Macaca fascicularis: one gene and its partner. The main gene of each other region encodes a partner of the protein of the gene in region 2 in a complex. Links are inferred from orthologs where the notes say so. Each region holds a gene or a part of one and is shown on either strand. Other genes may lie near its edges.

Evidence for each region.
Region 1: the proteins of FN1 (region 2) and COL1A1 are in contact, whole or in part, in a crystal structure (PDB 3GXE), measured with the Homo sapiens proteins. The link is inferred for Macaca fascicularis from reciprocal best matches to the Homo sapiens genes FN1 and COL1A1. Residues at the interface, in NP_997647.2 of Homo sapiens: Asp516, Gln517, Lys533, His535, Glu537, His539, Leu541, Gly549, Arg550, Gly551, Arg552, Trp553, Lys554, Cys555, Pro557, Gln560, Phe569; in NP_000079.2 of Homo sapiens: Leu261, Pro262, Gly263, Met264, Lys265, Gly266, His267, Arg268.

What each region holds. Positions count from the first base shown.
Region 1 is NC_088390.1:56,524,093-56,527,862, forward strand, and holds part of COL1A1 (collagen alpha-1(I) chain), read left to right. Parts: intron 1-73; coding exon 74-172; intron 173-474; coding exon 475-582; intron 583-1,040; coding exon 1,041-1,148; intron 1,149-1,368; coding exon 1,369-1,422; intron 1,423-1,584; coding exon 1,585-1,638; intron 1,639-1,855; coding exon 1,856-1,963; intron 1,964-2,050; coding exon 2,051-2,104; intron 2,105-2,229; coding exon 2,230-2,283; intron 2,284-2,423; coding exon 2,424-2,585; intron 2,586-2,686; coding exon 2,687-2,794; intron 2,795-2,951; coding exon 2,952-3,059; intron 3,060-3,164; coding exon 3,165-3,218; intron 3,219-3,323; coding exon 3,324-3,431; intron 3,432-3,770. UniProt on the Homo sapiens protein: Type I collagen is a member of group I collagen (fibrillar forming collagen).
Region 2 is NC_088386.1:111,261,231-111,265,000, forward strand, and holds part of FN1 (fibronectin), read right to left. Parts: intron 2,737-3,770; coding exon 2,560-2,736; intron 1,772-2,559; coding exon 1,682-1,771; intron 1,447-1,681; coding exon 1,267-1,446; intron 1-1,266. UniProt on the Homo sapiens protein: Fibronectins bind cell surfaces and various compounds including collagen, fibrin, heparin, DNA, and actin. Fibronectins are involved in cell adhesion, cell motility, opsonization, wound healing, and maintenance of cell shape.

The DNA.
Region 1 (3,770 bases), on a different chromosome or scaffold from region 2:
GCATCCATCAAGGTGCCTTGTACGTGGCCCTGTCTCCAGAACAGCTGTCACATGCCCTGTCCTTCCCTTCTAGGGCGAGAGAGGATTCCCTGGCGAGCGTGGTGTGCAAGGTCCCCCTGGTCCTGCTGGTCCCCGAGGGGCCAATGGTGCTCCCGGCAATGATGGTGCTAAGGTGAGGGCAGCGTGGAAGGGTCTCTGGCAAGCAGCCCGGGGACCAGGTCTCACCCCTCCTGCAGCAGGGGATGGCTGGCTATGACCAAAGCCATGGAGATAGGGTGCAAGGTGGGGGGAAAAAACCAGGGTAGGGGCCCACAAACAGCCTGGAGTCTGGGCTGTGAGTCTTTTCTTTTCATCTTTTCTCAAGGCCTGTCATTGGCCTTGGAACTAAGCCTGTGAGATACCAAGCGGGGCTTAGGGCTATGACCCACTCTTGGGACCCCATGCCTCACTTCAGTCTTCTTGGTTGTCGCATAGGGTGATGCTGGTGCCCCTGGAGCTCCCGGTAGCCAGGGCGCCCCTGGCCTTCAGGGAATGCCTGGTGAACGTGGTGCAGCTGGTCTTCCAGGGCCTAAGGGTGACAGAGTAAGTTCAACCTTCCCTCTCCCCTGAGCCCTACATGGCTCCCATCTCTGCCTACTGTGAATCCCTCATCATCTCTCCTTCTCCCTGGGATCTGTTCCTCTTCTCACTAATCCTCCCCTCTTCCCCTTTCTGCTCTGGCCTCTTTGCTGATGAATCCTCTCCTAGTGGTCCAGGCCTGTCTCTCCCCATGAGTTACCATGGTGATGAGAGGTGGGGGCATCTCCTTGATGGAGACTCCCTTATTCATCCCCCTATACAAGTCAGGGGCCTCTTAACCCCAGTTCTACCTGAGTCTCCAGGCAGGCACCCTTTTTCCTGAAAGGACCTTTGAGTCCTTGCCCCAGGTGGAGGCAGGGCAGAGCAGGAGAGGGCCTCTCAGGAAAGCCAGACACAAGCAGAACACTACAGGTCATCTCCTTGCCCCACACTGGAAATCTCAAGCTTATCCATGTCTTTAGGGTGATGCTGGTCCCAAAGGTGCTGATGGCTCTCCTGGCAAAGATGGCGTCCGTGGTCTGACTGGCCCCATTGGTCCTCCTGGTCCTGCTGGTGCCCCTGGTGACAAGGTGAGGTGGCTGCTTCCCCACCTTCTGCCCTAACACATAGCCTCCCCAGCAGGCCTGGGCACGGTTCCATGGGGTTGGGTTGGGAAAGCAGGTCCTGTCAAACTGAGCTGTCAACCCGGGAACCTGGAGGGACCAGAGGGAGGGGAGGCTCTCCTGGGGTCATCTACCAGGAATATTCAGGGGAGGCCCTGACCCTGAGCCTCTTGTTCCTTGCTCTCAGGGTGAAACTGGTCCCAGCGGCCCTGCTGGTCCCACTGGAGCTCGTGGTGCCCCCGTAAGTATAGAAGACCTGTTAAGACCCCACACTTGGCCCTTCCCTCCCTTCACATAGCACTCCTGGCCCTGTCTGTGCCTCCACCCCTTGCCTTTCCCCTCACTCCATCTCCGCCTTCCCTCATGTCAGCGCATCTCTCCAATCTGCCACCTTTTCTTCTAGGGAGACCGTGGTGAGCCTGGTCCCCCCGGCCCTGCTGGCTTCGCTGGCCCCCCTGTGAGTACCAAGACCCCCTCATTTTTCATCACCGACTGGGACCTGGGACCTCGAGGGACAGAATGAGGACAAAGGCGTCAGCCCTCCTCTGGGGAGAAGGGTGGAGACGGGATTGTTTCCCACCCAAGCATCTTCCTGCCTCCATTACTGCCCGTTGCCCCGCCGGTGGAAACTCCTGCCTGCCTCCCTGCACTCACGGCCCTGCTTCCTCCCCCAGGGTGCTGATGGCCAACCCGGTGCTAAAGGCGAACCTGGTGATGCTGGTGCTAAAGGCGATGCTGGTCCCCCTGGCCCTGCCGGACCCGCTGGACCCCCTGGCCCCATTGTGAGTGGCTTGCCCTCTCTGCCTGTGATGCTGGTGTCCTAGGACTCAGGACAGGTCCAGGCTTGATGCCTCTGTACTCTCCTACAGGGTAATGTTGGTGCTCCTGGACCCAAAGGTGCTCGTGGCAGCGCTGGTCCCCCTGTGAGTATCACCTGCCTCTCTGCTGAGCCTCTCCCCTCTCCCCAGGCAGCGGTGGCAGGTGAGGGCAGCTGGATAGGATGACTTGGCTGTTCTCCCTCTGACGGTTCCTTTGTTCTCCCTTCCAGGGTGCTACTGGTTTCCCTGGTGCTGCTGGCCGAGTCGGTCCTCCTGGCCCCTCTGTAAGTCTCTGCGGTGGAGTCCACTGCTCTAGGTTGGGGGTGGTGGGTGCGGGCTGCCAGAAGGATGGTGGGTCCGACTGAGGAACCAATGATGCACCAGAGCCCCCTGGAGTCTGACGGCCGCTCCTATCCCCATCCAGGGAAATGCTGGACCCCCTGGCCCTCCTGGTCCTGCTGGCAAAGAAGGTGGCAAAGGTCCCCGTGGTGAGACTGGCCCTGCTGGACGTCCTGGTGAAGTTGGTCCCCCTGGTCCCCCTGGCCCCGCTGGCGAGAAAGGATCCCCTGGTGCTGATGGGCCTGCTGTAAGTGCCAGCTCAGATCTCTGCAGCTCCAGAGGTGTCCAGAGCTGAGGAGGGGTCCCTGTGCTGCTGTCCCGCACCTCACCCCTGTTTGCCTCCCACAGGGTGCTCCTGGTACTCCCGGGCCTCAAGGTATTGCTGGACAGCGTGGCGTGGTCGGCCTGCCTGGTCAGAGAGGAGAAAGAGGCTTCCCTGGTCTTCCTGGCCCCTCTGTAAGTGCCCCCCTCACCTTGGGGGACCCTGAGAAAAACCATCACAGGACTTGGAGTGGGGTGGAGCCAAGGAGAACAGATTTGGTAGAGATGACCTCAGGGGACTCATGGGTCCTCTCAGACCCTGTCGCTGGCCTGACTCTTTCTTCTCCCTTAGGGTGAACCTGGCAAACAAGGTCCCTCTGGAGCAAGTGGTGAACGTGGTCCCCCTGGTCCCATGGGCCCCCCTGGATTGGCCGGACCCCCTGGTGAATCTGGACGTGAGGTGAGCAGTCCCCAGCCCCCATGCCAGTACCCTCAGCATGGCCACTGTGGCCTTGCCTAAGTCCTCTTCTCTGGCTGACTCTCACTTCTCTCTCTCTCTCTGCAGGGAGCTCCTGGTGCCGAAGGTTCCCCTGGACGAGATGGTTCTCCTGGCCCCAAGGTAAGATGGTGACACTCCATGACCACAGCCTTGTCTGCTGCTTCCCTGCCCCATCCTGGCCATTCAGCTGGAGCTGGCCCATATTCCTCTGCTCTCCCCCGCCAGGGTGACCGTGGTGAGACTGGCCCCGCTGGACCTCCTGGTGCTCCTGGTGCTCCTGGTGCCCCTGGCCCCGTTGGCCCTGCTGGCAAGAGTGGTGATCGTGGTGAGACTGTAAGTAGCTGGGCTCCAGTTCCCTGTGTCTGGTCAGGCCAGGGACTCTCCAGGCCTCCTTAGAGGCCTGGGGATGGGTGTCGGACTTCACCCAGGCAGGGGGAGGAAAGGAGATCCTGCAAGATGTCGGGGCCTTAATCCAAAAAACTGAGTTAAAGCTCAGCCTCAAGTCCCCTCTCCCAGACAGGACCCCCTCTCCCTTGAGCTGGCCCCAGCTCTCATGAAGATTGCAGTGGGGAGGTTTCCCTGGGAGTTGGGAGAGATGGCCACAGTGGGAAGGGGCTGAGGAGAGAGAGATGCAGCAGGGGGAGGCCTCATCCTGCAGCCCCAGCCTCAGCC
Region 2 (3,770 bases):
ACATCGCAAAGTACTTGTCTGACTGTCATATCTGACACCTGAATAGACACTTTTTGGGTACCTTTTCCAGGGTATTCTTTTACCATGTGGTCTTATTTGCCTTTTTGAATTTAAGAAAATCTATCAGCATCATATACCACCAGTCCTGCAGATTATATACATGAATCTACTTAGACCTAATAACCAAGTGGTCCTCAGTGGCAGATCAATGAAAAGCAAAACTCAAGGCAAGTGAAGGGTAAGAGAGATTGGCCAATCTTTGTACAGCCTCTGTGGGAAGTGTCTAGTTCAATTCCTCTCATATCTGCTTCTATTTTCCTGTTCTCCCGAGTTTTAAAAAGGCAGTGTGTCCTTCTAATGTCTGTATGTTCTATGGGAATTTTAAAGTCTAGGTGATACTCTATACAGACTGATATGGTTTGGCTCTGTATCCGCATCCAGATCTCATCTGGAATTGTAATCCCCATGTATTGAGGAGGGGAGGTGATTGGATCATGGGGGTGGTTCCCCCAGGCTGTTCTCATGATAGTGAGTTCTCACAAGATCTGATAGTTTTGTAAGTATCTGGAATTTCCTCCTTTGTGCTTCTCTCTCCTGCTGCCATGTAAGACATACCTGCTTTCCCTTCCACCATGATTGTACATTTTCTGAGGCCTCCTCAGCCATGCGGAAATGTGAGCAATTAAACCCCTTTATAGCAGTGTGAAAACAGACTAATACACATAGTTTAAAAATTTCATCTCTTGGGCAAAAATAATACTAGAGACTTATAGTCTTTCCCACCAAGGTAATCAACTTTTATTGGCCATTCCAGGCATTCTTTCTGATGTGGGTGGTTGGGATTGCTGTGCCTCAAGACCTATCCTGTGATAGTGGTCAATGGCAGGTGGTACTCTGGCAAGTCCTGCAAGAATGCCATATCTATAGAGATCTGAGTGTAATGACAGAATCACTATCAGCTAGTTTGCTTTAAAAATATCTTTCTCCAGGACTGAATTGACAGGTATCTGGCAAACTTGCAACAAAAGGAAAACATGAGTCTAGTCATGCCATTTAGGACAGTCTTGAAATTGCATTTTCCTTCACTCATGCCTTCTGGGATGTATTGAGCTGTACCACTCCTACACAGAGAATGCTTTTTGAGGTTATCAGGAACAGGGTTTTGCATTCTCATGACACAGTATCAAAGACGCAGCGGGCGTTTGCTAAGGACTTCATGTGCCCTAGGTAGTAAGAAGGAAAATGACAGCATGAAAGCAGCAATACCAGTAATAGTAGCCTCTGTGACACCAGGGCGGGGCCGAGGGACCACTTCTCTGGGAGAAGACCCAGGCTTCTCATACTTGATGATGTAGCCGGTGATCCTGGCACGTGGCGGCTGCCACGATACCAGCAAGGAATTGGGTGTGGTGGCCAGGAAACGCAGGTTGGATGGTGCATCAATGGCTGAAAGAAAAGAAAATTAAGTCTCTAAGAAGGCAAATAACCAAGAAAATTATTCCCACACTTTTCTCCCTAGCCCTTCTAAACACACTTAAAAGAATCTGAGAATACTGTAAACCGGAAACAGGATTCTCGGGAATCTATAATACAAAAATATCCGCCTCACTTTTGTTTTTTGAGTTCATGAGACTGATTGCATACAAGTCAGTGGCATTTCCTCAGTAGAAGGTATAGTTACCAGTGGAGGCGTCGATGACCACAGGGGAGCTCCGGGCATTGTCGTTCAGGGTGTACAGGTAGATCTTGTAGTCAGTGCCTGGTTGTAAACCTGGGATTTGAGAAGAGATGATTTTTACCAGTTCTTGCTTTACTAGGAGAATTCTCAAGCTCGCCTGCAGTTTTTCTGGGTTTCTCTATCATCCCATATTTATATAGACTATCAAAGTGGTCCACATTTGAACAGTAAAGTAGAGCATGGTATGGATGTAACTGTTAACAAGAAATGTATCTTGAAAGTGAATCACTGATGCAGATAAGGACACTGGCTAAAGTAAATTCTGGAATGCAAAAATGCTATATTGGAAGAGGCAACATTCATTGCAGAATGAGGGGCGGCCATTTATTGAGGTTTTCTCTTTATAGTAATCAGATGATCAATAGCTGAGCCTTGGATTCAGAATTTTAAAAAACTGAAAAAGACCTCAGATATTGAATATTCTTTGGTTACAACTTTGACCTTTATTAAGTAGTATCATTTACTTTTATATTAACTATGCTTTTTAATCTATACTAATGCTAAGATCTATACATCACTGTTTTTTATTTCTTTTAGTTTTAAACTTTGTGTTATAATTTTTTAAATAAGAAAGGGCACAATGATGAAAGATCAAACTTGTTGAATGAAACTTATGCCATTTCCATGACAAATATTACACAAAATCAGGCATTCAAAAGACAAAGCAATTTCTGATCATAGCATGAAAATAATGTTCTAAAACTGGGTAATGATAACACTGAAAATAAATTTTATCAGTGTCAGTCTTAGAGCAATTAATAAATCAGTTTACATTGTGGATATTTTTTAACAAATGTGGTTAGCACAGTGAGTTCCCTGACCTGTGATGGTGTAGCTTCTGACATCTGGCTTGATGGTTCTCTGGATTGGAGTCTGGCCATTGGCTGGAACAGCATCAACTTGGAAGCCAGTGATCGTCTCGGTCTTGGTTCTCCAGCTAATGGTGATGGTGGTCTCAGTAGCATCTGTCACACGAGCCCTTCTTGGTGGGCTGACATCTGTACAGGAGCATAACTAGAGATTAGTGCCTGCTTGGCTCATCCTTGTAAAGTTTTGGTATTTTAAAATGTTTCCTTGGTATATATCACATTCATCCATTTCAAGAAATATATAACTAGTAATGTGTAGATTATCTCCTTTGGCATTCAGAGAGAAAGGTCAACTGCAATTAGAAAATATGGAAAAAAATGGCCGGGCGCGGTGGCTCAAGCCTGTAATCCCAGCACTTTGGGAGGCCGAGACGGGTGGATCACAAGGTCAGGAGATCGAGACCATCCTGGCTAACACGGTGAAACCCCGTCTCTACTAAAAAATACAAAAAACTAGCCGGGCACGGTGGCGGGCGCCTGTAGTCCCAACTACTCGGGAGGCTGAGGCAGGAGAATAGCGTGAACCCGGGAGGCGGAGCTTGCAGTGAGCTGAGATCCGGCCACTGCACTCCAGCCTGGGCGGCAGAGCGAGACTCCGTCTCAAAAAAAAAAAAAAAAAAAAAGAAAATATGAAAAATCTACCTCTCATACACTTTATTTTGAAGAACTGAAAAGCTTTATAGATACTACCAGTGGTTCCTAGGGCTGGCTTTTTAATATCTACAAATATTTCAATAAATATTAAAATTATTAATGCATTATAATGTAAAAATATGTGTGGTAGGAGTTATAACATGGCCAGCTAACAATTATATGTGTGTGTGTATGTGTGTGTGAGAGAGAGAGCATGTGTATGTCTGTGTGTGTCTAATATTACTGCAAGTATTTTATCTTTTCTCTCAACAGGTAAAATGCCATCCTTCTTTTATAAACTATGAAACTTTGACACTTTACCTGACTTTTGAAAAGGCATATATCAAGTGATTGATACAACAGAAGACTAGAATCTAAGCCTGATTTTGGTCCAATGGTTACTGTGCTGTGATATAATTTGGATATTTGCTCCTGTCCAAATCTCTGTTGAGTTGTAATCCCCAATGCTGGAGGTGGGGCCTGGTGAGAGGTGTTTGGATCATGGGGGCACATCTCTTGTGGCTTGGTGC